Lonchura striata: one gene and its partners. The protein of the gene in region 1 interacts with the protein of each later gene in a biochemical or structural test. Links are inferred from orthologs where the notes say so. Each region holds a gene or a part of one and is shown in the gene's direction. Other genes may lie near its edges.

Region 1 (10,096 bases):
TGTCCTTCTCATTTCATCTGTCTGGGTCTGCTTTGGTGATCTGTATGTCCTTATTCTGTCACATTTTCAAATGTAGTTCCACTAGATTTCTTTGTTTTCCTGTATCTTAACCCTGTAGACAACTAACTGCAACACTTCAGAGCTTTCTGAGTGCTAGAAAAGCTTTTTTTTTTCAAGAAGGTACCTTAAAAAAATATCAGAAGACTAATGGATACTCTGCAACTAGGGAAGGTCTTGTGGAGTTTGAAAAACAAGCTTGGAAAAATTTATTAAGATAATCCAGTTGGTGACAGCAGCTGTTTAAATTTTTACCCCACTTTCATCCACCTTCCACCCCACTGTTTGTGATGATTCATATTTCTGCATTTTCTATGCCAAAAATAGAACATGTTATGCTACAGTCTTTGGGACACACAGCACATGTAAATGGCATATCTTTCAGTAGTTTGCTTTGAATTAAAATATAACAGGAGCAAATAATAAAGCTGATCAGCAAATTTCCATTATTTCTAATACAAAATTTCAACTTGGGAGTTTACATAGGAGTCAGAAAAAAAGAACCAATCAATTTTTCTAATGTTGTCTTCAGCAAATGCAGGCAGTGGAAAATAATGACAAGGTCTTTTTGCATAGGAACATAAAAATCATTAAAGAATAGAGGAATTTTATACAAAATCTATTAAGCTAGAACTTGTATTAACATTTTTATTAACTGGTTGTAAACAAAGATGTTATAGTAGGTTATATTCACACACATAAATACACTCACACATATGCATGCCCACACACACACATGCAATTTGTAAAATATTAAACTAAAACTGAAGGTAATATTCTCACCTTGCTGACATATTGTTGAAAATCTCTGTGTCTCAAGTGTCTTGAACTGATCCTGTTCCAAACAGCCCTGAATGGAGCACTAACATCATTTTTTGCCGTACCCTTTTAACACTTACTTTAAATAAGATTAAATTGGTTCGAACATCCTTCCTTTATGCAAGTTAATGACCTAAGAATAAGCATGGAAATAAACCTATATGTAAGTGACAAGCAGAAAATGCACTTGGAAATTTCATTATACACTTTGTGTGGAAATTGGAGGTGGCTTGTCCCTCTTTTCTGAAACTGTCAGAAAAGTAAAGAACTATAAACATTCATCTTATTTCAGTGATGTTTCTAGACAGCTGATTTCATCACTAACTGGAATCATCAGTTAGCAAAACACTGCAGCATTGATCATTGTATAAAACTGCCCAAGTGTGTAGAAAAAGACCAGAATAGCACCTTGAAAATAGTAGGTATTTGCAGGGGTCTTTGGAAGCGCTTGAACAACTGTTGGGTAAAATGCAAAATTTCTCCACACAGTCTGTTGTCTGCTTTTCTAACCAGAAATGGAATGATAGTTATGCTTCTTTTCTTCATTTTCTCTTCCACATTCTGCTGCCAAATTGTCCTTACCCTCATCCAAGGATTCCCCAGTGACTCTAAACATTTTGAGCAGAGTGGTGAAAGAGTTAAGTTGCACCATTAGGTGTCAGAGGAAGGACTGATAAGAGTTCAACAACCCTCCCTCTGCATGGGCTCCAGAGCACAGCTCACAGCTGAGTCCTGTGACTTGGAACAGCAGGGACAGGAACTGCTTGCCTGCTAATCACAAGGAACTGCAGCAATGACCCGGTGTGCCCCAGTCTTTGAGGAGCCTGAATACAAAAGGATTCTCACTTTCTTACAGACTGTCCCAAGAAGAGCAGAACTAAAAAGAAAATCAGACATATGTATTGCATTTCAGGCCCTATTACGTGCTGCTTCTCTGTTTGTGTTTTGCAGCTCCACGTGTAAAGAGTGGGTAGCACTCTTTAGGCAGGGTGGTGACAGCAGTACAGCAGGAGAATAACAAAATCAAGGAAGGACAAGTTTGGGTGCAGGACATGTGCTCCCCCTGACAGAAACATGTAGCAGGCTACAGCAGATCACCATAGCATTTTTGCTGAACCACTTTCCAAAGCAGTGCTAGTGCTGGATGTTATGGGCTGGGATAATCAAGCAGGACTCAAAGCTGCACAATCCCTCTGCTGTCCGTAATTCTTTAGCTTAGCTGTGGTTTCTCTGATGTTCTCTGTCTAGGAAATGAAGAATGATTTTACTCTCTTGTCTAGCAGCAGTATGATGCAGTTGTCCCTCACGTGCAAAGACTTAGAGCACACTGTGTGCTAAGTTCTGGCTGTTAGATTCTCTATGGCTTTAATGCTCTGCACACCTCTGTTGAAGGTAAATGCACAGTCCCTGTATTTCCAGATACTTTTTCAGCAATACAGAAATTGTACTAATTAATTTTTTAGATCTTTCTGCTATAAAGGTGACACTCGGCTCACTTCTTGCTTCTCATTTGTCTGACTTTATTCTTCTGGTTTCTTACGTTTGGCAGCAGCCAGAACAAATTAATGTTTTAGAGACAGAAGCTTTCACTAGTGGAGAAACATCTTCTCTGTATCTCCTTGTTGTCATTTTCCTTACCTTAGATCCATTAGCATCTGTGGCCAGAAATGAGTTTATCTACCAGATGTTCTACCCTCTGTGTTCTTTCATGGGCAGAGCAAGTACAGAATTTATTTTTAACTTGGCTACCTTTCCTCCTCTAGAACCCCTCCCTACCTTACGTTCAGCAGCACCTGCTGTTAGAAGCCATCCACATTATCCATCTGGGGTTGCTGCCCGAAGACCCCTCTGGCTCTGTGGATCTGGGCTATATAAGTCTTACTTTTGTTACTTTTTCTGTTGGCATTTGAAAAGAAAGTAGAAGTACCTTCCTTATTTCCCAGCTGCTCATGGCTCTATGCCATGGCTTTACTATTTGGAGCAATTACATGAACTCCTTTACTTCATGTTCATCCCAGTCTTGTGGATGTGCAGTACCTTAGAGATGCCTTTTGAAATTTTCCCTTCCTTTGAAGATATTTAAAGATAATGAAATTTTTCCTTTGATTCTTTCCTCCTAGCAAGTAAGTGATATCTCAGTGTCTGTTTTCTGACGTTTCCTGATTTTGAAATCTAGAGAATTTATGTTTAAGGGAATTTATTTTTTAAAAATGTGCTCTGTGTTCTGACATTTTTTGCAATTACTTTTGGGGGGTATTTTTCTGAACTTACAGTAAACCCAATTTCAAGGGTCAACTTCTATTTAAAAAGCCTCCTACTGTTTATATTTTAACCATTGTGCTAACCAGTGTACCCTGACTCTGAAATAAGATCTGATAAACTTCCACCTATGGGTGATCCTCACAGTGATCAAATAAATGAGAACAAACACCACAAGATTAGAACTGGAGAGAGATTTAGATACTGTGTGAATCTATGAGGGGAAAGAGGAAAGAAGGAAAGACACAAAAGGATAAATCAGCAGTTTACAAGGATCCTGTCAAACATAATGCCTTGACAAGTCACATCCTTGTCACAAGACAACAGTGAGGAATGCCAGTGTGGCAGATAAAAGACACCTCTGTTTTGTCATTTTCTTGTGCAAAACATACAGAATGGCTGTTTTTGTACCAGGAGCAATTGCTAACAGTATCCTCAAGTCCAGTTTTCCAGGATCAGATTAATTTAGACAGAGATTAATAAGATTTCTTCAAATCTGCATTGAATGAAATGGCAATGAGTGTTCTTTGCTTTCTTCAGAGCACTCACACCAATGTAGGTCCATTTTAATCAGACTTGAGACAATGAGATTGAGAGAAGAATCAGAGCCAAGCCTAGAACTGGCAACAGCTAGGCATATTGTGAAGGAGTATATATAGACTTTTAACATGAGGAAAGATTGCAAAAGAGTTTGCTGACCTGATGCATGGAGATTTTCCCAAACTCTCCTAGACTTGTGGTAACAAACCTTTGGGTACCACATTTAGCTTCTTTGGTTTTGAAAACCAGTAGGAAAATCTAATCTGATTTAAATCTCTAACACATTGTGTTTATTGATGAGTTTTACAAACTCAGTTAAGACTCACAGCCTTTCAAACCTCTCCATGCAGCAGAAACAAATGCACTTACCCACTTACACAGTTTCTTTTCTTAGACTTTTACCACCAGATGTGCACCATAGCACAGTAACCCACTGACTACCTCAGTGGAAATGGGAAATACAGGAAAATGGGGAAGGTATCAAAGATGCTGGAGAGGGCAGGGCTCAGCAGAAAAGCAATTTTGCACTGGAGTAAGGAAAAGACCAACTGTGTCATAATATCTGATGGGAAGGAAGCAGAGATTGGTGAGCAGATGCTGTTTGTAGCCAGGGAGTCAGGGGTTATAGAGCAGGAGAGAGGCAAACCAGGATCTGGATCTAGAATTGAAAATGAGGTTGATCGTTAAAAATGTGGAGTTAAACCAGGCTTGAATACCTCTCAAAAGCCTACTAGCTAGTAAAGCCTACTTGGTGTTCTGCTCCTTTGTTTTACCCTTCTTTCCCAATGAGTAACTGGTCCTAATACATGATAAGCCTGATCCCACATGTGATTGCATTATATCCAACCCATTCTCCCTGACACCGTTCAAATGTTTCCCTGAGCTGAGTCCAGCTCCAATCAGCTCCTCTCCTTGGCCCATCTGCTTTGTTTCCCTGGACTAACATCAGTGATATCCCAAGCCTCTACAGATATCCCATGCTTTGCTGTTGTTCACAAGTTGCATTAAACAGATTCAAGCACAGAAAACAACCAAATAGCATGGTATTATACTATCCAACCAGAGAAAAACTGTATAGGACCACAAGCAGAATCAGCTTTAAATTTTTCACATAATCAGTAAAATATAAGTTAGTCTGGTTCTCATGCTCATGCCTCTCTCACATATTTACCCCTGCACTCCAAGCTTTATTCCAAGCCCTCAATACAGTGTAACTTTTACTTAAAGCAGGCAGGATGATGCAGAAGTGGACAGCCTCATTAGTTTTTAGAAGCAATTCATAATTCTGCAAACTTTCGGCCTCCAGTTGCAGAAGATTTAATTGCATGATCCAGCAGTGTGCATTCAAGTCTGTTCTCCCCATCCAATATTCATCCTGCTCCTTCCTCTGGTGAGTCACTAGCACATTTGATTCAGTAAGTTGTTTGGAAGCAACAGCAGAGAGTTAACATGCAAGAGAAGCCATGAAATGGTGCTGCAGTGCAACTTTTCCAAGGTAAAGACTGCTTAGGAAATGCAGAGTGAGCTGATGTTGAAATCAGGATAACACACAGATGAACAAAGTCTGACACCCTCACTGGATAAGTTTGTGCATGCAGTGTGAAGTTAAATGTCTGGTAAGGAAGAGCACTACATTGCTATCTATGATTCTTAAACCTAATGTTTGAGGTTTAGAGTGTCCTCTTAAATCTGAAGTTTAAATGAAATTAAGTCCTACTCCCAAATAGAAGAAGAAAAAGGAAAACTCTAAGGCAAGGAGACAGCAGAAACTGAATCTTTAATAAAGAAGTAAAATTAAACTATTTTACAGAGTTAATATCTGAATCTTATAAACATGCTTACCATGAGATTAAATAGAAGTTGTTCCTTATTAATCAATACAGGTATGCGTGGCTGAATTTACTATTGGGACTCTAATATCAAGAGAAATTCAGATACTGCCTGGACACATGATTTCTAGCAATATTATTCCTGTCTTTTCTCTAGTAGAGAAAGACCTAACCATTTGAGAACAAACCATATCCTGCAAAACAAGAGAGTGCCTTTGCATTTAATAGCATCCACTAGGAATGATTGAATCTGATTTGGTAATCCATCCAATTCAAGGTTGTTTGAACAGCCACACCACGGCAAGGGGGGAGCAGCATGGGAGAATGATTAACTTAATCCTCCTGCCTTGTTTGTTTGATGCTGCCTCACTCCAGTGCAAGTCAATAAAACTTTGAGCACTGGCACACACAACTTCCAGCACTCTCCAAGCTGGCCCAAAATGGGGATTAGCAAAGCTGCCTTTCTCCTTCTGTTCCTTCTCAGCTCAGGTAAGAATCTTTTGCTTTCTGCTTGCCTAGGTGAGACTGGGGCCAGACACTTGCAAGCTCTATGTGATGAAGGTAGGTCCCCAAATCTCTGTGTCACAACTCCCCTGGACAATGATGGATTTGGGGCTTGCTGGGCAGCAAGAGCTGCTGCAGAATAGAGTGAGAGCTGTCATTGCTCCTGAGTTATGTTCAGTAGAACATTGCTCCTGAGTTATGTTCACCAGAAAAGGAGCAGCCTTGGTGTCTGCATGGGCAGTTAATGGCTCCCAGCAAACGTTTCCCATGGCCAGAGACAGGGGCACCCCTGGGAAGCAGCCTGCCAAAGGCATGGCTCCCTCTGGTTTCAGCAGCCTTTAATCTGAGGTTTGGGGATTTTTTTCATATGTTATTTCCAATTACTGTGATCCTTATTCTGATTGCTTTAAAGTTTTGTTAATACTTGTGCAAAACAGAATCATACAGGAAAGGAAAGCTTGTACACACTGCAATTTCAGTCTTTTTCATAACCACATTCTTAACTGTGAATTTTTCATTCCATGTGATAGGAAGACCAAATCTGATCACTGTTACTTTCTGGAATATTTTTGGTACAGAAACATGTGTTTGTGGAAGATGCTACAAAAATTTTGGGATACGCAAGATCTGAATTGGGCTTTTTAGTTATGTTTACATGGGTTTCATACATACAGATTCTCTGTCCTGAAAACCTTAAACTCCAGTGAATTGTGAGATTCAGACCACACAGCTTCTTGCAGGCATCTATATAACCACACAGTATGTTGTTATTGTAGTAAAAAATACAGTTATAAGTGTACTAATGCATATATAAAGATACAGTAAATTAAACATGTGCAATACAATACAACAAATTTTACATGTGCAGTTTTAAAACATAAGAAAAAGTAACAGTTAGGAAAATATATGGGTATATTTTAGCTGGAAATATTAGAGACGTGCCCCAATGTAAAAAAACATCTGTTATTTAATGTTAAGAATTTTTATCTTGGTTTAAATTCTAGTTTCTAAGCTTTGTTTTCGCAAAAGAATAGCCTCTGTAATACTTTCCTCAATTAAGTAGGAATTTTATATGAGGGAGAAAAAGATACAATTTGGGCTTTTATCTGAAATACTATACTCTTGTTTGCAAATCCTTTATCAAATGGTAGCAAATATTTGCATTTTTGAATAAGATAGTAATACATCTTTCTGTGTCTGTAAAACATCATAGACATAGGGAAAATGGTAGCATGAAAATTTAATGCTTTTTTATTGTTTGCATATTTTCCTTTCTATTTTCCCCACAATAATGCCCTGCCATGTAAATACAACAGAAAAGGGGAGAAATAGTTTTATGACTGAAATAAATTATGAACCTGTCAATATTTCTAAAATCAAATGTTGTATTAATAATGACAATATTGTTGCAAAATGTCAAAACAGGACAGAATTAAGTTTGCATGGAAACTGTACCATAGTAGGAATTGTTTTTTTTTTCTTTTCTTTGTGGTGAGCATTGCAGCATCTCTATGATATTGTCTTAACCTAGTTTAATGTTTTGTCTCAAAACTCATTTCTTCTCAATGTTTTTGTTTTGAAATAACTAGTGGAAATGTCATTGGACTCTTTTTCACTTATTCTTTTGTTTTCCAGCAGCTATCATTTTCTTCCATGCATACTGTTAAAGTAACTGCCAACCCTTAGGGACAAACTCTTCCCTAGTCTAAATGCAGAAAAACCCTTGCAGTAACTTCTGTGCTTTTGCAATTGTATGTGAGGAAGTATAACTTGGCTTTTATCCGTATTTTACCAGCTTCAACTTGTAGATGCAAAATGATCTTTAAGAAAATACCCAATTTCAGGCTGAGCTATCTCTCAAGTGAAGGAATTTAATAACAGGACACGTGAGCCTGCTGAAGAGTGTTACTGAAGAGTGTTACTCAGGAAAGGGAGGGGCTGTTGCCTTTCTCAGGTCGAAAGACATCACTAAACAACTCAGTGGAGCCCCTGCTCACAGGCATGGGTCTGAGTGGGACATGGAGTGTTTTTGTCCCTCCTGCTGGCATTGGGCCATGGCTGAGACAGACAGGGGTCAGAGAAAGTGAAGAAGTTCCTCTCTGCAGCATGGCTGTTATTCCTAAGATTCCAGTCATGGTCTGGTTCATCCCCTGTCTGCCTTTTATTCAGCAATTGTGTAAGGCCAGGCACAAAAGCTGACTGAGATGTCCTGCAGTGACCAGGGGCCAGGGTGTCTGTTTGGGGTTGAAACACTACAGAACAGATAACTCCCAGGGCCAAATGTTCATCAGAAGAGTCATATGCTCCACTGATAAAGAAACTGTAAAAATCACAGGACTCGTGCAACTCCATGACCCTGCAGCTGGAAGTCATGAAAATCACTGTGCTATGCACTAATTCTGGGATTGCAGAGCTGTAACAGAAAAATACTAAATGCCAAAGTCCTTTACAAGGAGGAGTGTTCTGGAACACTTTTTGAGTTTACCATTAAAAATAGCTGTACTTTTTAGATTCCTATATATTTGACATGCAGCTGTAAACCAGAGGTTGTTAGGTGGATTTACTTACCTCTTTAATGTCTTATTTTAATTCATTGCAATGGAAGGCAACAACTGCTGTCTTGATTATTAAGTAAGTTCAGTACAGGGTTATTACAAACTGAACAACTGACAACCCCAGTGACTGAGGGTGGTTTGATTTTTTTAAGAGTAGGAGCCTTTGAAAGGAGGTGACTGATAAATCTCAAGTCATTCCATGTGGATGGATGGACAGCAATGAACAAACATTGTTTCACGTCTTTCTTGAGCACCATTTCTCTGCTTTGTCCAAAGTATGCATGGCCAATATTTACTTTCTGAAACACCTCAAATATTTTTTGCTCCTTGGCTCATCTTCTGTGCCCCCATTACCTTATCCTATAGGTTTGTGTTATCACTGTTCAAGCCATTTCTCTGTCCTGCCTTACCCTGGGTTTTCAGTGATGCTACTTTTTGCCATACCAGGAAAGCATTATATATTACCCATATTTTGTCACAATTAACCCAATTATTCCAGTAATTAAATGATGATGTCATATGACTAGGCGACAAAGAATTTAACATGGGAGTTTAAAATAAAGCAAATCATCATTCCCATTTTCATTCTTTTCTCTCTTTTTCCTCTAAGTGCAAGGAAGCATCCTAGACCACTATGTGAGAACAGAGGGAGCTTGGTTGCTCAACCCCATGAAACAAGTTTATAGAGCAAATAGTGATGAAGAATGTGCAGAGAAATGTGAAAGTGAAGAAAAGTTTCCTTGCAGGTAATTTCCACTGGTTCCCACATGTCTTTCATTGCAGGTGATGGAAAAATATGCCTTTTTTTATCCACAATCTGAACTTTCAAGGGTTTCCTTATGACTATGTGGGGGTTTGAGGTTTGCTGGGAAAACAAAAATGTGCAGAAACAGAATTCTTGTACTGCATATAGATGGACATGAAGATGAAGATGAAGATAGAAAAAATAGACAAATTAAGAAAGTTATGTTGAATTTTTATTGAAAAATGTTACGATGCACAGCTTGATGCACAGCTTGACATGCTGCAAACCAACGTGACATGATTTTATCAAGACTCTTGCACTCCTTCTGCAACAAGAAGTCATAATTAATTTCTTGGAAATCTAGGACAGCAATAATAGCATTGCTTATTTTCATTGCATTCATTATATTGCAGATAAATCAATTATTCAGAATTTTACTAGAATTTGGACTTAGGTAACTTCTATTTACTTTGAAAAAGAGACCTGAACCTTAATGACCTGAACCTTCTTTCAGCCAAGTCCTCTCCCTGCACTTGCATTACCCAGGCTCAAGGGGCTGGAAAGCATGAAGGGTGTTGATGACCCTGTATTGTTGGTCTTTGCTCAGCCTTCTGCCCCACTGGATCCTGCTGCTCTGAGCCTAAGGCTTCTGGATCTCCTGTGCCAAAGCCTTGCAGCCCATTGAGCTCCAGCAGTGCAGCAGGAAACTGAGCTCTTTTGAGGCAGTGAGATGTCCATTACTGCGGTGGGAGGCAGTCCACACACACAGGGCAGAGGGGGTTCCTCTC
Region 2 (9,343 bases), on another chromosome or scaffold:
TCTTCTTCTTCAACATGAAATGGAATCTCTTACAGTCTGTGTACTTCCTAATGTGCTGCTGCATCAAACTGCACAGAAGCTCGTGCAGAATAAGGGAATGACTAAATTCTTTCTTTTACTGCTCAGTTGTGAAATTCATCCTTTGTCTAATCTTGTTAACTCTAGACCAAGTTCATAACACAGACTGTAATATAGATAGACTGCACTAATAGTTTTTGTGCAAATAGAAAAAAAGCAGAGCTACACATATTGCAATAACACAGAGAGGACATTGGAAATTACCAACCAGGTTTTTTATTTTATATTTCTCTGTCCCTTCTAGACATTCCATTTTAAGCAACTGGCCTTTAAGAAACTCCAGGCACACCACTTCCTAGCACAAAGTTAATCTTCCCTCTCATGAGCACATTACTGTTTATTCATCAATTCTCTTAGTTATTTTAAACACATATCTTTCAAGTTGTGTAATGACAGAACAGTCCTTTTTTAATATACAAGTTATTTGTTTTTTCTACCACATGACTACCAGCAACACCCAGCTATGTATTGCACAGATCTTTCAATGCCTTTTTTCCTGATGATTGGAAGATATTATGCAATATTAAGTAATTAACAGCATTTTTAAGAGTGTTCTACTGGATCTGGAAATAATTGATTGCTTCTGCCTAATTAAAAGAAGGAAAGAAGAGGATAAAGATTTGTACATGATATGGTATTTTGCTCAAGTGAGGTTTCATGTTGTGGCAAAATGTGTATGTTCTGTCTTGTGCATAATCAGTCCTGCCTGATTGTGTAATATGAAATTAATGGAGACAAGAGATGCTCTGAGAGGTGAACAAAAGTTAAATCTATTTTTCACTTTATCTGTGATTATGTGTGAGGAGTAAAAGCTCTGCAGCTGCCTGTTTACAACTCACAAAAACACACTGGGACACAGATTGCTAACGGATGTAAATGAACAGCTTTCTTTCACTTTAGAGGCTCAAAGGTCCCAGTATATAAATGTACAAACATGTACTTATGGTCACCTCTGCTGAATAAAACATCTAAAACGCATGTCCACAAGTATGTCCACAAGAATTCTAATGAAAACCAAGGAAACTCTACCATGTGCTTGAATTTGAATACATATTCTAATGATTCACTGACTAGAAATACTTCACTGAGGCAGAGACTAGATGCCTGTATCTACTGTTACTTTTCATCTGCTGCTTACAAAGGAAATACATGAAAAAGTCTTGTGATAGAGAATACTAGGGTCTCCCTCTTTTTCCTCTTTTTCCTTCACAGACAAAAGAAACCAACTTGGTTTTAATTTCAGGAATAGAGTTTGGGGGTATTTTTTGGCTCATGATGCAAATTCTAAATATTTCTTTAAAATAAATGCTTTCTCATTCTAGGAAAAAAAAGCCTTAAAAATTACAAATTAATTAAATTAAATTATTTAAAATTAAATTATTTTTCTGGTGAAAAATATGCTACTGGCATTACATTGGTACAAAAGTATATGCAACCCTGCCAGAAAATTTTATCACTTAGTTAATCCCTTTAAAGTATATTCTTCTCTTTAAATTGTAGTACATTTTGCAAACCCCAAAATCTGACTCCTAATAAACAAATGTGCTGTACACCCACTACAATTTAGAAGAAATTAAAACATTTCTATTTTTTAAGGTGTAAGGGCTCAGCTCAATGAATTAGCTAACCATTAATCAGACTCTGCAATTTCCCACACTTTTTTTGGTATGGGAGAAGGTCTGATTTTGATGGAAGATCTTCAAAAACAAAAAGATACCCAATCAGCCTTGTGTATGCAGGCAGACTACAGCTGTAATTAGCACACAGAATATTCCTGCAAAATAAAAGAACACCAACAAGCAAGGTATTCAAGAATATATGCACCAAAGTATTTTTTTACTCCAAATTAGACTAGACTAGAATAACTGTTGAATGAATGTAGAATGATTCTTTCACAGACATGGCACAGATATGCAAAACAGCAATGTCCTGAATTCCACCCAAGAGTGGAAGGGTTATGCCCTGCATTGAAATCCACACTCCTCCAACAGGTGTCTACCCGCCCTTGGTAGGCAATCATTAGCTTCCTTACTGTCAGGACAATAAATGTCAACAGAGGATAGCCCACAGAAAGTCATAAATTGTGCGATCCTTCTCATCTGACTTTAGTCACTGTCCTAGATTCAAGCCGGGACAGGGTTAATTTTTTACAATAGCCATAAAGTGGGGGGGGCAGGCCCTCATGTCAGAGCCCCATTGAGCCTGGCCTTATAGAGATGGAATAAAGAATTTCATCCTAGTATCTCATCTACTCTCTTTCAGTGCAAAGGCATTACCCTTTTTCCCACCCCTACACGCCCTTGTAAAAAGTTCCTCTCCAGCTCTCTTGTAGGCTCCCTTCAGGTAGTGAAAGGCCACAATAAAGTCAATCCAGAGCCTTCTACAGGCTGAACAATCCCAATTCTTTAAGCCTTTCCTTGTGGGAGAGGTGCTCCATCCCTCTACTCAACTTGGTGGCTTCCTCTGGACTAGCTCCATGTCCTTCCTGTGCTGGCCCCCCAGAGCTGGTGCAGCCCTGCAGGTGGGCTCTCAGCAGAGCAGAGCAGAGGGGCAGAATCCCCTCCCTGGCCCTGCTGCCCACGGGGCTTTGGATGCAGCCCAGGACACGTTTGGCTCTCTGGGCTGGGAGTGCCCATGGCTGGGTCATGTCCAGCCTCTACCCACAGCACCCCCAAGTCCCTCTGGGCAGGGCTGCTCCTGACCTGTTCATCCCCAGCCTGTGTTGGTACTGGGAGTTGCCTGACCTGGGTGCAGTACCCTGTACTTGGCCTTGTTTAACCTCATGAGATTTCCATCAACTGGTTCCTGAGCTTGTCCCGGTCCACATGGATGGTGTTCTATTCTTCAGGTGTGTCAACTCCACCACTCAGCTTGGTGTCATCTGCAAACTGGATGATCTTCCATCTATGTACCTGAGAAAGACATTAAATAGAACTGGTCCCAGAACCGACCCCTGAAGGACTCATGTCTATCAGGACTCTGAGCCCCCAGCCACCACCCACTGGATGTGACCATCCACCAATTCCTTATCCAGCAAACAGTTAACAGTTAAGCTGTTCTTTTTTGTACCATTATACTTACAGAAGCAAAATACTCTGTGATATGATACTGCATTCACTATGCTCTTCAGTTTTATGCTGAGAATACTGACTGCAAGAAGGGAGAAAAATTATCTCAACTAGCATAAAATGTTAAACCTGTCCAGGTTGGAGCAGTCCATGTATCTATCTTGCATGCTCTCTCTCTTGCTGATCTTTTAGGGGTTTTTTTACTGACATGGCTCTCATCATCACCATAATTTCTCTTCTCTCTCAGTTCTTTATCTTGAGATGGTTGAGGTTTTTCTTCTGTGAATCACTGTACAGTAAAAAGACCTACTTCAGATGGTATACTCTATCTTCTAAGTTAAAAAGGCAGACAATAGATTTGGCTTTGCCCTAATATACACAATTCTGCAGCTGTCTCTCATTCCTTGGGTCAAGAATTTCCCAGAGCATTTCCTAGGATAATCTGTAGTGCAGTAATTCCTCCTCATACATTAGCCAGCACAACTGTCTGATGCATTTTACACAGTTCAGAGTCCAACTCAGTCACTGCTCACTCCAGTTTTCCCTCGCCACACACGCAATTGCCTGACTAGGTCTTTCTCGTTCACTGACACTCCACTTCCCACGGGAGCACATGCCAAGCACACAAAGGCCAGGGAATGCAGAGGAATTAACCATTTTTGGAATTTGATTACCTCAAAGCTGTTTCACACGCCCAAGTCACTTTTAGTCATTCAGAATATGAAATTATGCAAGGAACCTACCTTTTAACCTTTAGATTTCCTGTTACCTGGAATTCATATTACACGGGAAATTCTTAGCTGAAGTAGTGTTAGTCATTTTATTAATTAAACAAATCTGCTATGGGAGAGTCTCAGCTGCACTACAACGATAGTAATTTCATTCCTAAGGCAAATTTGTTTGAGGGTCATCCCCACGAACATTTCTCCAGTGACAAGGAGATGTGGAAAGGAGACAGCAGGTCCTACTGCTCCAGCCTGCCGGCCTCTGTCCTCTCTGCCCCCACGGGAACCGGCTCCACCAAGGCCGGGCAAGACGGGCTAGTGAGAATTGCCCTTATTCCCCTTTTGTGAACCCAGTGTCCTGAGCGCTGTGTGTTGGAACCAGCGGGCAGGCAGAGAAAGTCTCACTAAGTGAACATTCAGTGGAGGATGCTTTCAGTAGCGCCTCGGCACAGCCGGCGGCAGCGGCGTCTGGGCGCACCGCTCCTCCAGGGGACGTGCCCCCCGCGCCCTCGCTGCGGTGCGCGCGGCCGGAGAGCGGGGCCGGGACGCCGGGCGGGCGGCGGGCGCGGCGGGCGGCGGGCGCGGGGCCAGGCGGGCTCCGGCCGGCGGAGGGAGCGCGGGCCCCGCGGGCCCGGGCGGGTCCCGCTGCCGGCGGGGAAGGCGCCGGGAGCCGGGCGGCGCGCGGGGCCGCGGGCAGCGCGGGAGGCCCCGGGGGCCCAGCGCCCCCTCGCGGCGCGGCCGGGCGCAGCGGCTCCCCCGGCCCGCGGGGCGCGCCCGCCCCCGCCCCCCGGCCCCTGCGGAAAGTTGTCCCTGGCCCCGGAGCCGCCCGGCTCCCGCCTCCCGCTTCCTGCCCCGCCGCCGCCGATTGGCCCGCCGTGCGCCCAGGAATGCGAGCCATCCCTTTATAGCCGGGCGCGGCGGCCGGCGCCCGCAGAGTCCCGGCAGCGCCGCTACCGCTGCCCGCCGCTCGCCCTCCCGCGCCGGGACGGTCGGGGCTGCCCGCGGATATTGCTCGCCGGTACCCAGAGGCCGGCGCGGACCGCCCGGATCGCTCTTGCCGGAGGTAAGTGCCGAAGCGGCTCCCGCCGCTCTCGCTGTCCCGTCCGAGGGGGGCCGGGGACACCTGCCCCGTCCCCGCTGCGCAACGTCCCGCCTGCGGGAGCCTCGCCGGCGCCGGTCGTGGGTGCGACGGCAGCGCGGTGACCTTCCTCGTGTGTGTCCCCAGGCTGGTTCAGAGACAGACCTTTGCCATGGGGCCAGCGACTGCTCTCTGCCTCCTTCTCCTCGTGCTCGGCGGCTCAGAGACCAAGCGCACTGCAGGTAAGGCCGGCTCTGCGCTGGTACCGGGGCAAGAAGAAATAACTTTGGTGCCTGTGTAGGCAGATGAAGTTGTGCTCGGTGGTAAAGAGCTCCAAAGCTCTCAATGAACAAAAACGTTTTAACCTGAGCATGAGCTAGCTGGGAACAGAAAACTTCTCTCTGGTGTGGAATTTGTGTAACCTTCAGAAGTAGGAACGCAGAGTCTCCAGAATTTGAGCATGTAGCTTGTCTACCTCTGCGCTGAGCAGAAGAAAGGAGGAACATGATGTAGGAACTGCCTGAAGAAGGAATGAGGTACTAGGCTGCCGTTTTGGTGCTATAGAGAAGCTGCTGCTGTGCTGCTGTCACTCAGCCTGGATTGTGCAAACTCACTTTGCCATGTCCCAGCATAGGAATAATGCAGATTGGGTTTTGCTGTCTATTTCTGTGCTGCTGGAGTGTAATGAGGTGCCAGAATGGCTGCTACCTTTGTGTGTCAGTCAGCGGGTACCTGGCACTCCTGTGCTGACTGGCTCCCGTACAAGAATGCACATGTACTGCTGCACAGCAGCTCCTGGTGGGACTGCTGCACCATCAGACCTAACTGTCTGTGCTCTGATGTGAGGCACTGTGCCCTGCACGATGTGCGCCAGGAGCCAAAACGTTAAGTAATCCTGGGAAACTTGCACCTACTCAGCCTCTTGTCCTTTTCTCATGATGCTTATCCTGATCTCTCTCTGCAGAATCCAGGAATGATGATAATAGCGTCTTCGATCTCTTTGAGCTCATTGGCTTCATGCGGAAAGGAGCGGGGCGCCGGGCCCCCGGGGTGTACCTGGTGAAGGGGCCAGAATCCTCCAGCCCTGCTTACCGCATTGAAGATGCCAGTCGCATCCCTGCTGTCCCTGACACAAAGTTCCAAGACTTATTAGATGCCATCCATGCTGAGAAGGGCTTCATTCTCCTGGCCACTCTCCGACAAGCCAAGAAGAGCAGAGGCACACTGCTGTCTGTGGAAAAGAATGATGGCTCTGGTCATGTCTTCAGTCTAGTATCAAATGGCAAGGCAGGCTCCCTGGACCTGAGCCTTTCTGTTGACGGCAAGCAGCAGTTAGTGTCAGTAGAGGATGTCTTGCTAGCTACAGGACATTGGAAGAATATCACCCTGTTTGTGCAGGAGGACCGAGCTCAGCTCTATGTGGGGTGTGAGAAAATGGAAAACGCTGAACTGGACATCCCCATCCAGAACATCTTCACTAGGGACCTAGCCAGCAGTGCCAGGCTCCATATTGCCAAAGGGGGAGTCAATGACAACTTCCAGGTAAGACTTTCACTTATGATTTTGCCTAGAATTTTCAGTCATCTGTTTTGAAGGTGCATTAGCTACTCAACAAGCCTACATAGCAGCAAAGACGTCTAAATCTCCTAAACTTTACTAATGGAATTTGAAGGGTGAAGCATTAGATTTGTGGGGATGGAACTTCCTGCAGCAATGAGAAGGCACTGAAGTTTCCAGACAGGTAGTTGTAGCTTCATTGCTTAGCTTCTTATATGAGATTCAGAAATCCATGGGTATTTTCCTTCCTGCCTGGAGAGTTGCCAAGTCCTTATGCTCAAGGATAAGACCGTTAGGAAGCAGGGCTGGTTTTCATTAAGGAGAATAGAGCAATGTATTTCACTTTTCCATCTGTCTGTCATGAAATTGCTCTGTAAGATCTTGCATGACCTTCAGTCTGTCCAAGTGCAAGTGGTTCTTCCCCTTGCAGTTGCTGCAAGTAGTTGTAATTCTTTCTCTGTCCACAGGGTCTGCTGCAGAATGTGCGGTTTGTGTTTGGAACAACTCTGGAAACTATCCTGCGGAACAAAGGCTGCTCCAGTTGTAAGTTTACAATCTTCTGAGTCCAATGACCTATTAAAAATAAGATTTCTCATTACTTTAGAAAGACAAGTTGAAACAGAACTCAGAAGTATGCTGACATGCAAATCCACATTGCATAAGAAATAAGATTATATTTCTGCAGGCACCCTAATGAATCTAGTGGCAGCTGTTTAGCAGGTGTTAGCCTGGAATGATAAATGCATGTCATATAAAATGCATTTACTTCACCTCTGTTTTTTTCTCTTAGCCACTAGTGCAGTCATTACTTTGGACAACCCCATCAATGGTTCCAGCCCAGCTATCCGCACTAATTACATTGGCCATAAAACAAAGGACATCCAAGCAGTCTGTGGATTTTCCTGTGATGAACTAACAAATATGTTTGTGGAACTGCAAGGGCTACGGTCCATGGTTACAACACTTCAAGACAGAGTTCGAAAAGTGGTAAGTGGTGGTCAACTTCATGGTACCTTTCATTAACTAGCACTTAGTGAATTAATTATAACCTTGCTTTTGAGAGGCTATGTAAACAGCAAAATATTTTTACTTTGACTTTTGTGAAAAAGGGTATTTCTGTATTAATCCTAAATATCTTCTTTTTGCTTCTTGCCCTCAAGACTGAAGAAAATGAAATCATTGCCAAAGTAGTCCAGATCACTCCTGGAGCATGCATTCATAATGGAGTCTTGCACAAAAATAAAGAGGAGTGGACTATTGACAGCTGCACTGAATGTACTTGCCAGGTAAGATTCCTCACATTCACAAATCACCTGAATATAAACTCATAAGGTGGAATTAATAGATAGTTCTAAACGGCAATGTTTGTTAGAAAGAGTGAATCATATACAGAACTAGGCATACTAGAGAAGCCATAGAATTACTCAGTTTATTTCATTCTACTAGATCTCTGATATAAAGGCAGGTTCCCTACCTTGTCCAAACAGCAATATTCTAGAAAATTATATGAAACACTGAAATTATATGTATCACTCTGATACAGCCATTAACAGTTTTAGTTCATTAATTTGGGGAATGCCTGTATTCTTTACATAAGTCCATCAGTAAACTAAGTCAGTATCAACACAACAAATGTATAGTACTATCAGCTTTTCTAGGTTTGCCTTCTGTCCTCACTAAACCTCTTGCTGACTTAGTAGAAAATGACATTTGGTCAAAAATTACTTGGTAAAGAGACTTATGATGTTTTCTTTATCTAGAAAATGCTTCTAGGTGTGTCCTATTAGCTTTTATAGATTATATGGAACAATGATCCCTTTTGGATTTCAGTTGTTTAATATCCCTGAATCACCTGGCAAGATATTGAAGCTTTGTGTTTCACTTCTGCTGAATGCTGTAAATACATACAAAATGTACAGTTTCAGGGTTTCTTTAACTTATTTGCTTGTTCCATTTAAGTATACCTTAGCAAAAGCATTTTGGGGTACCAGTCTACAAAAAGTGGGTTAATTAGCATGCCACTCTTTAGAAACTAAAAGTCAGGTATTTGTATATGTGCAATACAAGGCAACTCAAATTCTGTGTCTGCTTCTTTAGCTCTCTGTCTTTTGTCTTGTAGTCAGCACATGGTATTGTGACTTTTGCATTTGCCTCGTTCCTAGCAATCTGTTTACTCAATGTTAGCTGTAATTGCCTTAATCTAATAATTTGCTTGGGGAGATTAAAATAGTAATCATGAGAGCATTCTTCTGACCAAGGTGCTACCTTCAAGAAGCAAAACTACAGACTGCCCTTTAACTCTTATTGAGATTGGGGGTGGGTGTTCTTACCCTGCGTGTTTGGCTTAGAGATGAAAAACCTCTAATTATAAGTTAGAGATTGCATGGCACTTGAGCAGAGTCCACTAAACTCATTTTTTCTTTACCATATAATCAGCTTAAATCCATATTAACTGAAGAGAAAATTGGCTTTTCATTCTTATTTCATTTCTTTGAAATCTGACCTTGTACTTTGGGTATCACATAATAGTCATTTACTTGAGCCAGCATATGCTAGTACTACCGATAAACTTCTGCAGAACCAAAATATTTCTGCTTTTGACTAAAAAATAATGGGTGAGAATGGAAATGAGATGAAGTTTGACTGAAAATACCTGGGACTACCCATTGGGTGGTATTTTAGCTCTAAATACAAGGGTCTCTGCTTTAGATATGCTACTGAATCTTAAAGTTCTGCAGAAAAAGTCCCTATTATTTACTTAGACTCCAAACATTGTTTATATTCCACGTGATAACTGTAATTCTCACAACTCTTTATAGAACTCTGCCACCATATGC
Region 3 (10,003 bases), on another chromosome or scaffold:
CTCCTTCTGCACTTCCCCAGATGTGGGAATGTGCTGGGCATACACCTATACTATACACAATACTGTGTTTGTGTGTAAGAGCATCTCATCTTGGGGTTTATCTGACCTTGCTTTTCTTGTCCAGGGGTTGACAGCAGAGTCGCTGAGCAGCTGTGAGATGCCAGTGATGGAGGTGCCCCTTTCAGATGGGAAGCTGCTGGCCCTGGATCCATCTGTGCTGGTGGAGTTACAGAAGGTGTTCAACCCCGAGATGGCCTACATCACCTACATCCCCTTCTCCTGTTTGCTGGGTATGCCTTGGCCACCAGCTCCAGGGGTCTGTGAGGGAGCTCTGTGATGTGGGCATGCTGTGCTGGGTCTGAACTCCAGGGCAATCACTGCTCACAGGGCTGCTGGGGGAAACCCACAGCTTCTAAAGCATGGCTTGGGCTGATTCTTGGGTTGGGAGCCCACTGGACTTCAGGCTGGGAGCAGATGTCGCCGACTTGGGGGATGCTGTGCCCACATCCCTGTGTATGGAGGGGGATGATGACGATGGGGACATTGCTTCCCTTGCAGCCGCATTGTCTGTGTCTCCTCAGGTGACGTTATCCGCACGGTTGTGCCCAACCACTCTCTGGTTGAGAAGCTGGCCAGCCTCCACCTGGAGAACGTGAATCCCCAGAACCTGCAGGCCGTCGGCCTGGAACAAACACCGAGTGTGGTGGGCTCAGACCAAGACCCTCGAGGAGCTGAACCCTTCTCCAACCCTCAGGAGGACACTCACTCTGGCACTTTTGGCAGTGTCCTGGTGGGGAACCGCATCCAGGTGCCCGTGGACACGCAGCGGGAGGGTCTTGGCTTGCTCCGCCTCAGCGCTGGCACCGATGGATTCGCTCCCAGCTCGTGCAGCGAGGAGAGCGCCCTGAAGCGCGACCTGCCCCGCAGCACCCACATGCTGTGTGGGAACTGGCTGGCCTACTGGCAGTACGAGATCGGGGTGAGCCAGCACGACCCCCGCTTCCACTTCCACCAGATCAAGCTGCAGAGTTTCTCAGGGCATTCCGGGGCCATCAAGTGCGTGGCGCCGCTGGGCAGCGAGGATTTCTTCCTGAGTGGCAGCAAGGACAAGACGGTGCGGCTTTGGCCGCTGTACAATTACGGGGATGGCACCAGCGAGGTGCCACCGCGCTTCACCTACGCCGAGCACAAGAAGTCTGTGTTCTACGTGAGCCAGCTGGAGGCACCGCAGCACGTGGTGAGCTGTGATGGCACCGTGCACATCTGGGACCAGTTCACAGGTAAGAAGGGAAAGGGTGAGGAACTGGAATGAACTGGTCCAGCCCTTACAGGCAGGGGTTGCGCTGAGTTTGGATGGCTCCTGTTAAAAACCAGCACGGAAGCAGAGATTTGCTGTGTGACTTGTCCTGCCATAATATCTGTCATCCTTTCACAGGCAAACTTCTGCGGACTTTTGATGAGTTAGACAGCAAAGTCCCCATCACAGCTGTGACCACCATGCCACCTCCCTATCACAGCATCTCTGTGGCCAGTGCAGACTCTGTGCTGAGGTTCATCGACCACAGGAAGCCGGGACTACAGGTAGGGATGCGGTGCTGTGACTCGCCTTCCTCCAGCCCTGTGCTTAATGATGGGATCACAGCTGGCCCAAAGCCCAGATCCCAAAGCCGGCTGTGATGGCTCCACAGAAACCAGCTTGTCCCTTAAATGCCAGCTCCCCTGAGCTTCACCCCCCAGCTGGAGTGTCTCTGTTGCAGCACGAGTTCCGCCTGGCCAGTGGCGTGAGCGCGGGGCTCATCCGCTGCCTGGCCGTGAGTCCGAGCGGCCGCAGCGTCGTGGCCGGCTTCTCCTCCGGCTTCATCGTGCTGCTGGACACCAGGACGGGGCTCATCATGCGGGGCTGGCCTGCCCACGAGGGAGACATCCTGCAGATCAAGGTGAGAGGCTCAGCTGGGATCAGGCTGGGGCCTCATTGATGCTCTGAGGCTGTGTGGAGCAATCTTCCTTCAGGGTTTGTATGCTGCATCCCTTGCAGTGTCCCCAAGAGGCTGCTCAAGCTCTCCTGCCCCATGGTTAGTGCTGCTGCCAGCTGTTCTTGGTCCAACTCCTGCTGCCAGAGTTCAGCCCTGTTGGGTTTCAATGCTTGCCAGGCAGGTCTGCAGCAGGGGCAGGGAGGAGTCATGGCTTCTGTGAAGGAGCAAATGTGTTGCTTTCTCCACGGGGCTCTGGGCTTCCCTGCGTGAGGGTTGCTCTAATGAGTAACTCTTGTCCATATTTACCCACCCCAGGGAGCAGTGTTGGGTCTCCAGTGTCCTCGACCCAAATGTGGGTTAAACAAAGTTCAGCAGTGTGGGTTGTTTACCCTCTCACTAGCTCTGCTAATAAGCAGCTCCAGGCTTCTCCTACCCTCAGCAGTATTTTCAACTGTGAGAGAGCCTCCCAGTTCCTTCCTCTGAGAAGGAAAATAGTTTGGCAGGTGATTTAGTGGAGAGGGAGACTGCATGGTAATCCCTGTACCCACTGCAGTAGTAACAGATGATGAATGAGTTGTGTTGGGTGTCAGGGTATTTTTGAGATGAGGCCCAGCCCATCTCTTGGAAGAGATTGCCAGCTACCAGAGCATCCTTTACCTTGCAGTGTCTACCCAAGGCTTTGCTCAGTACCATCAACTGCTTGGAAATAGCTCAGACTGTCCTGAGGGATTGCACTGTGACCATTGGATCACTGGCAGCCACCTGCTGCTCTCATGTGCAGCACCAGATTGTGAGTTTTTACAGAAGTGTCTGTTCACTGGCCTTTCCTCTCCTGCAGGCTGCAGAGGGCAACGTGCTGATCAGCTCCTCCTCAGATCATTCCCTGACTGTCTGGAAGGAGCTGGAGCAGAAACCTTTGCACCACTACAAATCTGCCTCTGAGCCCATCCACGCGTTCGACCTCTACGGTAACGAAGTGGTCACCGGCACCGTGGCCAACAAGATCGGGGTCTACTCCATGCTGGAGTCCTCAGCCCTGCCCACCAGCACGACCAAACTGAGCTCAGAGAACTTTCGGGGTACATTGACCAGCCTGGCAGTGCTGCCCACAAAGTGCCACCTCCTGCTGGGCTCGGACAACGGCATCATCCGGCTCCTGGCGTAGTGACCCCCGGCCTGGCAGCCTGTGGCTGTCCTGCAGTGCTGTGCTGGAGCTGGAAGCCAGCAGCGTGGCTTTTGGAGGAGGCAGAGGCAGATGTTTCTGAGCAGAGGATGCAGGGGGAGCTGTACTTGTTATGTCTCTAAGCTCTTTCTGTATCTTGAAAAAGCAAAAAAAAAAAAAAAGAAAAAGCCATAACTGAGAAACCTCCGCTGCTGCTGGGAGAGATATTGGGCGTTGTAGGTCACTGTCACCCCTGCAGAGAGGCCTGGAGCTTTCCTTACCATGTGTGCCTGATCCCCAGGGGACTGTGAGCTGCCCTTCACAGTAATAGGGACCACAGGTACCCTCCCCTCTTCAGTTAAGGGGTAAGAGGTGCCCCTTGACAAAACACAACAGTTTAGCTACTGCCACCTGCACTTCCCCTTCCCTTCCTCTCCTGAACCACTGAACAGCCCCACTGGGAGGGCAGAAGCTGGGCCTGGGAACTGCTGCCTTTGGAGCTGCATCTCCTCCTCCCGTGGCTGGTGCTCAGAGCCCAGAGGAGGTGCTCTGTGAACTTCAGGTTCTGCCAGCTGACTTCGAGCCTGCATGGGAGGAGGAGAGGCTCACCAGAGCCCTTCTGCTGCCGTGCTGGCTGCAGGGCAAGGACTGGAATGGAAGCCAGCAAAGGCACAAACCCCATCTGCCCTGCCAGTTCTGTGAGAGTGGGCTGCTGCAGAGGGGCAGACTGGGCTGGGAATGTGACTCTCTAAGGATGCCAGAACTAGATGCTTCCATTGGGATTTTGGCTTCTGGAGCAGTGGGGTAGGGCTGTTGGTTCCTACCCCAGCATCCCATGATCATATAAGGGGTGAGGAATGCCACGTGTGCTGTGCACCGGCAATTGATCCTCAATAAATCCTTCTAATCCTCTCCTTCATGCTGGTCAGGCTCCTGGGGAAGACAGGACAGCAAAAAGGTGCTCAGCGTTGTGCCCTCCTGCCCTTGTAGGGCGAGAGGCAGGAGGCAAGAATCCAGCATGGTCTCTCCTCGATTTTTCCTTTGGGACAGCACTGTCTGTTCCCACCCCAAAGGCACAGAGGGTGCTCTTTGCCCCACCAGTAGAAGCAGTTTCCTCCCTTCTATGTCAGCCCTTTTCCCACTCATCCTTCAGCCTAGCCAGAGCCAGTATCAGGGGAGTGGGAAGCTCTTACCTTGGGGCAGAGGAGGAGCCTGCTGTGGGTTGTCCTGGAAGAGGAAAGGGCTTCCATCCAGCTGCCACCTGCAGGGAGCTGGGGAGGTGAGTGTTTGGCCAGTGCTGTCCTTCCCTACCCAAGGGGAGCTCTCAGTCCCGTGTTGCCTATTAAACATTTGCAATAGATGTAAATATTTACTTCTAATATACTCTTTGAAAGAACTGCAGAGCTCTGTGTGTGTGTGTGTAAGCTCTGTGCTGGAGGGGCTGGGTGTGCTGGCTGCAGCTCTCCTGGTGCTCAGCCAAAGTGACACCTTCTCCTTCAGGCTCCTCTTGTGTTCTGGGGGAGCCCTGCATGTAGAACAGGATTCTGCTGCACAGGATTTGCTTTCCAAGGGGAAGTAGCTCCCAAATGTGGTTGGAGAGCTCAGATCTGTCTGGGGTGAGCTTGGGAACTGAGAGTTCCTGTGAGGAATGGATGAGTGGAAGATGCTGTTGGGGCTCAGTGACTCCTCTCCCACTGAGGACACGGGCAGAGGCAGGAAGGATCCACCATCACTTCTGCATACAGCACAAATCCACCCAGGGCAGCTCTGCTGGAGTTCTGCCCGTCCCCAAGGCTTTTCCTGCGTGCCCCAGCAGTGTGTGCATGCCCTGGGCACTGGGACCAGCTGCCCTGGGAGAGCTCTGGAGCGTGCTGTGCCCCAGGGGAGGGAGCAGCAGCTCTTGGCTCAGCCCAGCCTGGCCATCAGAGCCTGCCCTGGGCACCTGCCCTCTGTTAAACCAGTGCCTCACACTGGGTGCAGAGCTGGGACTCCAGGAGGGAAGAGCTGGGGGTTTCAGCAAAGAAAATTCCCAAACCAGAGAACCCTGTGGCAATAAACACCGAGCCCTGCATTTTCACTGAAGTTTATGAATAAAAGAGAATATTGCTAGCAGTGCATGAGGAGTGCATGCAGAGTGGAGCCACTTGCAAATTACTTCTGCCTGGGGGGGGGAATTTTGGATCTGGTAAACTCGGTGTTAAGGTTGTCTTGAAGGTACAGCAGCCCAAAAGTGTATCCCCATCTCCAAATGCACCACAAATTCATTCTTCTCCCCCAGACAAATGTTTACCCGGATGCTGTGGGTCAATATTTGCCTGCCAAATTCTCAAACAGGGGGTGGTGCCGAAGGTTGCTGCTGGGAGGGGGGGCTGGACAAGAGCTGTGTGTGCCCCATGCAGAGCTGCTGGGCAGGCTAAAGCAGGTGCCAGCTCCAACGTGGACGTGAACAACCTCAGGTAAGGGACAAACCAAAGGATTTGATAGAAATGAGAGTTCCTGCAACGGCCCTCTGGGAGAAAGGGGTGAATTTGGCAGAGGGTTAAAGGATGGGCAGCAGCAGGGAATAAAAGGGATATTTGGGAGTTCTATGTGACTGCAGGATTTGGGGTGAAGGAAGGGGAAGAGTGAACTGGCCTCAAGTTATCTTCTTCTCAGCCCAGCAGTTCTGGGTGAAGTAAGGAAACCTGGGGAGTGGAAAGCAGCCCCAGGAATTAAATGTGGACACCATGCAGAGGGCAGGGCTTTGGCATGGAGGCTTTATGAAAAGGAGAAGGTATTTTATTTCTGTCTGAAAGGGAAAAGTAGCTGGGTGAAGCGTTGGCCAGGGAATGGGTGGGGTTTTGCCCATGACCCTGGAAGCCCTGTCCCACACTGGAACTGGAGCACGGAGGGGGGAGAGGCGGGGTTTGCCAGCAAAGGGGGAAGATGAGTGCTGGGAAGGGGAGGACTGCCTCTTCCAGGACATAGTGCTGGGAAACTGCTCTGGCATTTCACTTTTTACGTGCAAATTCCCTCCCAGAAAGCACTTGCTGAGCACCTGCAGGTCAGTAGCCCTTCTCCCAAGAGCCTGGGGCACAGCTGAGGATGCTGTGCCTGTATCCCAGTGGTTTCCATGGGAAAGGAGCAGAAAGGCTCTTTTCTCCTTCCAGAGGCACAGTGTGTGCAGCACTGATTAGGGAAATACCATTTGCAATGCAGAGAAACCAGGGCAGCAGGGTCAGACAGGCAGGATCCGAGCTGCAGCTCCACTGTGGGCCCCTGCTCCTCTCTGATTTCCCTGCCTTGGCACCAGACCCAGGAGCTCTGTGTTGTTTCTTTGCAGCATTGTTCATCTCCCTATTGCTTTCCATGAGCTCCTGTGCCAACCTGTTTGGCCAGGTTGATAATTTTCTCCCTGTAGACCTGAATAGGCTGAGCTCACAGCTGGAAATAACTCCTCTCTCGGCTGGTCCTTCTGTTCCAGGAAAATGGGGTTCCTCTGGGGGCTGCTCTGCCTGGCTGCTCTGTACAGCCTCCCAAGGGTAAGTTGCTACTCCAGCAAAGAGCAAGGGAAGGGTGGTGGCTCCCTGAGCCAGACCATGGGGCAAATACCACCCAGAGAAGCCCTGGAAGGCAAAGAGGTTGAGGATACTGCTGGGGGCTTCACCAGCAAGGTTTCTGATCTTCTACCCAGCTAAAATAGTTGTGGATGTTCTTATTATTCACATTTCTGTAGAAGCTTTTGTTTCGGAACTTGACCTCAACTGTATTTGGTGACCATGACCTTCAGGAGTAAACAGGAGCTTTTTGAAAAGCAGGTTTTTCCTCCCCCCCCCCCCACTTTTAAATCTGGATCCCTGTCAGAACTGAGATTGCAAAACCCCACTGCTCACTCTCAAAAGGATCCATTATTTTGTGCCAGGCTGGCCTGACCCCTTTCTAAACAAATCCAGTGTTTGCAGTGTCTCCCAGCTGCTCCTCACTTCCACCTCCCCGTGTCAGACCTCGCCATCCCTGGGTCTGCATCCCAAAATCCTGCCTGTGCTGTTGCCTTGTGGGGACTGCTACAGCCAGGACTGCAGTGGGAGCAGGGAATTCACACTCTGGAAATTCAGAGAGACCTGACTTTGTTTCTTTGTTGATTTTCCCACCCCCACAGCTGGCACATGCCATTGACCAGCAGCATCTCTTCCTGGACAAAGATGGGAAGCTGAGGGTAAGCACTGACAGGTTTCACCCAAGGGGGCTGAAGTGAGGCTGTGGATTTGCAGTTTTTCCTGAGAAGGGATGAGCCCAGGCAGTGCCAGTGCCATGAGAAAGTCCATCTTTCTGCAGGCTTTACTCCCAGCTGCTGCCAACACTGTGCTCCTTCAGGCTGGGAGCTCCACCCTAAATAACTGAGCAGAGCCTGGAGTTACCATCAGTACTGGTGTGTACAGGGGCTGGCAGGTGGATGATTTAATTTCTGATTGCTAAGGAAAGGTGAGGGAAACCACCAGCTGTGATGGTGACAGGGAGAAAGACCCGTAGCTGATCCAACCCATTGAGCCTGGGATGTTTCAGATCATGCAAATGTGAGGAGAGTAGTGGCAGTGCTAAAGGCTAAAGCTTAGAAGAGTGGAAAATGAGGAAATTTGGAAAGAAGAGGGATGGAATAGAACACACAGGTCAAGAAAACACAGATGCCTGAAGGAGGAATTGAGCCAAACTGGATCAGGGCTGTGACAGCAGCAGAAGGGTCTGACCTTCTGTGTGAGTGTGAGTCAGGTGGGCACTGCTAAAATATGTGAGGGGAGGAAATGAAATCAAGGCTGAGGATGATGGATCTGTAAATGCTGAAGGCACAGGATATGTGCTGAGCTGGTGGTAGGTCTTGCCCTCAAGCTTTCCTAAGAGCTGAGTGGAGGAGGAACCACTGCCAGACCCTCACTGGGTCCATTTTCAGAGGATACAAGACCTATTTTCCATAGCCATTCCCTCAAATCATTATTCTCAGGGTTAAAGAGAAACTGAAGCAAAACCAGCACCAGAGCAGAGGATTCCAGCTCTGCCCATTTAGGTGTGCAATGAAAGCCCATGAGGGTGTCACTGTGCTCTTGCTTTCCCAGTGTTATCCTTGTTTCTCCCCAGGATGTGAAAAGTGCTGGAATTGCACAAAAGTCGGATTTGCTGGGAGCCATCCCAACCCTGCCAGAAGGAAAGATAGTAGAATTTAGTTATGACAGCTTCCAGGAGAACGATGGACCCATGTCAGCATTCCCCACCACCCACATGAGGGATGACTGGAACTCACAAGAAGAAGCTGTAGCTGGGGTTGGGAATTGTCGTGGAAAGAAATCACCTGGGAAAAATGCCTCTTCTGAAGAGGAAGGAGAGGCTGGAGATAAAAGCTGTGAGATGACTTGGAAGAAGAGCCAGAGGCTGGCAGATGGCATGATGAGATTCAGCATTGATCTCCTGAGAGAGGTGCAGCTGGAGTCCAAGAGAAGCAACGTGATCCTGTCCCCGCTCAGCATCGCCCTCGCCTTGTCTCACCTGGCTCTGGGTAATTCTGAGTGGCCAAACCACCACTCTCTGCCCTTCCCCATTTCCTCTCTCAGAGCCACGAGCAACCAGATGCAAATGAAATACAGTCCCTTCCACTTATCCTTGCTCCTGCAGCTTTAATTAGGCATGATTACAATTGAAGCTGCCCTCTGAGGCTCCGACTCTCAGATTTCTCCAGCCTCTTTTGTGAGGCACAGCGTGTTTCTAACAGAGTAACATCCCTGTTTTCCGCTCCACGGGCATGAGACCTAACAGAAATTTGATTTTTAGGAGCAGCAAATCAGACAGAGAAGCATTTGCTGGAGGTGATGCACCTGGAGGCAGTGCCCTGCCTCCACCACATGCTGGGCACCCTTCGCAGGAGGCTCACAGAGTCCACCCTCAGCCTCGGGTCACGTCTGTACCTGCAGAAAGGTGAGAGGTGGCCCAGGGGGGCTGGACTGGTGTAGGACAAACCTCCCAGTCACAGAGAGAGTGATGGCAGCACCCTGGAGACATCCATTTCCCCTATTTCCTCCTCTTGGGGAATGTCATACCATGCTGAGCAAATCTGTTTCATCATTCCTCCCCTTTGCCAGGGTTTGAGGTGAAAAAGAAGTTCCTGGAAGATTCAGAGAAATTCTATGGAGCAAAGCCCAAGACCCTTTCTGGGATCAATCAGGATGACCTCACGGCCATAAACAACTGGATAAAGGAAGCCACTCGTGGGCACATTCCCTCCTTCCTCCAGCAGCTCCCTGAAAACACAGTGATGCTCCTGCTCAATGCCATCTATTTCCACGGTGAGCTCCATAGGCCTTCCTTATTTTTTTCAAGAGGAAATAGTTAGAACTCCAGTTTTCTGCAAGCCCTGTAGCTGCACAGCCTCTCTTCTCCTCGCTTCCTGCTAGGCAATCTGCTTGTTCTTGTGCATCTGCTGTTCCTCTTGCTTAGGTTTCTTTGCAGTAATGATTCCCAACTGCTTCACATGTGCTAAAAATGTTACTTGACAGCAGAGCCAGGACACAGCAGGTGGGACCTGCAGTATCGTTGCCTCCTGGTTCAGGATCCCAGGCAATGGCACATCCCTGCTCATCCACTCAGTGATCTTAAAGGTCTTTTCTAACCTAAATGATGAGCCAGGTCGTTTGCAGCTCTGCACACCCACCACAGAGCTCAGAGGCAGCTTCTGTGGATTTCTCTTTGACTACAGCACAGTGGTCGGCCACATCTTCCTTTTTTAATTCCCTGAGGGCTGTGCAGAGACCAAACACTTCCAGTGTAAATCTACAAATGTTTTACCTTGGTGTTGGAGCAGTGTTTCCCTCTCTGCAGCACAGAGGCAATACTCCCCATTTTTCAA

The links.
Region 2: the proteins of plasminogen (region 1) and THBS1 form a complex in vitro, tested with the Homo sapiens proteins (2 studies listed by BioGRID). The link is inferred for Lonchura striata from reciprocal best matches to the Homo sapiens genes PLG and THBS1.
Region 3: the proteins of plasminogen (region 1) and SERPINF2 form a complex in vitro, tested with the Homo sapiens proteins (2 studies listed by BioGRID, with this or other methods). The link is inferred for Lonchura striata from reciprocal best matches to the Homo sapiens genes PLG and SERPINF2.

The regions. Positions count from the first base shown.
Region 1 is NC_134605.1:58,090,493-58,100,588, reverse strand, and holds the start of plasminogen, read left to right. Parts: upstream 1-5,863; 5' UTR 5,864-5,944; coding exon 5,945-5,993; intron 5,994-9,173; coding exon 9,174-9,309; intron 9,310-10,096. UniProt on the Homo sapiens protein: Plasmin dissolves the fibrin of blood clots and acts as a proteolytic factor in a variety of other processes including embryonic development, tissue remodeling, tumor invasion, and inflammation. In ovulation, weakens the walls of the Graafian follicle.
Region 2 is NC_134608.1:32,091,005-32,100,347, forward strand, and holds the start of THBS1 (thrombospondin-1), read left to right. Parts: upstream 1-4,884; 5' UTR 4,885-4,934; intron 4,935-5,096; 5' UTR 5,097-5,121; coding exon 5,122-5,191; intron 5,192-5,913; coding exon 5,914-6,491; intron 6,492-6,973; coding exon 6,974-7,049; intron 7,050-7,296; coding exon 7,297-7,493; intron 7,494-7,666; coding exon 7,667-7,792; intron 7,793-9,325; coding exon 9,326-9,343. UniProt on the Homo sapiens protein: Adhesive glycoprotein that mediates cell-to-cell and cell-to-matrix interactions.
Region 3 is NC_134622.1:6,968,088-6,978,090, forward strand, and holds the start of SERPINF2 (alpha-2-antiplasmin), read left to right. Parts: upstream 1-5,513; 5' UTR 5,514-5,591; intron 5,592-6,064; exon of another isoform or gene 6,065-6,178; intron 6,179-6,598; 5' UTR 6,599-6,602; coding exon 6,603-6,656; intron 6,657-7,273; coding exon 7,274-7,330; intron 7,331-8,244; coding exon 8,245-8,659; intron 8,660-8,931; coding exon 8,932-9,075; intron 9,076-9,239; coding exon 9,240-9,443; intron 9,444-10,003. Other genes in the region: WDR81 (WD repeat-containing protein 81), read left to right, coding at 125-290, 582-1,280, 1,436-1,581, 1,758-1,937, 2,812-3,138.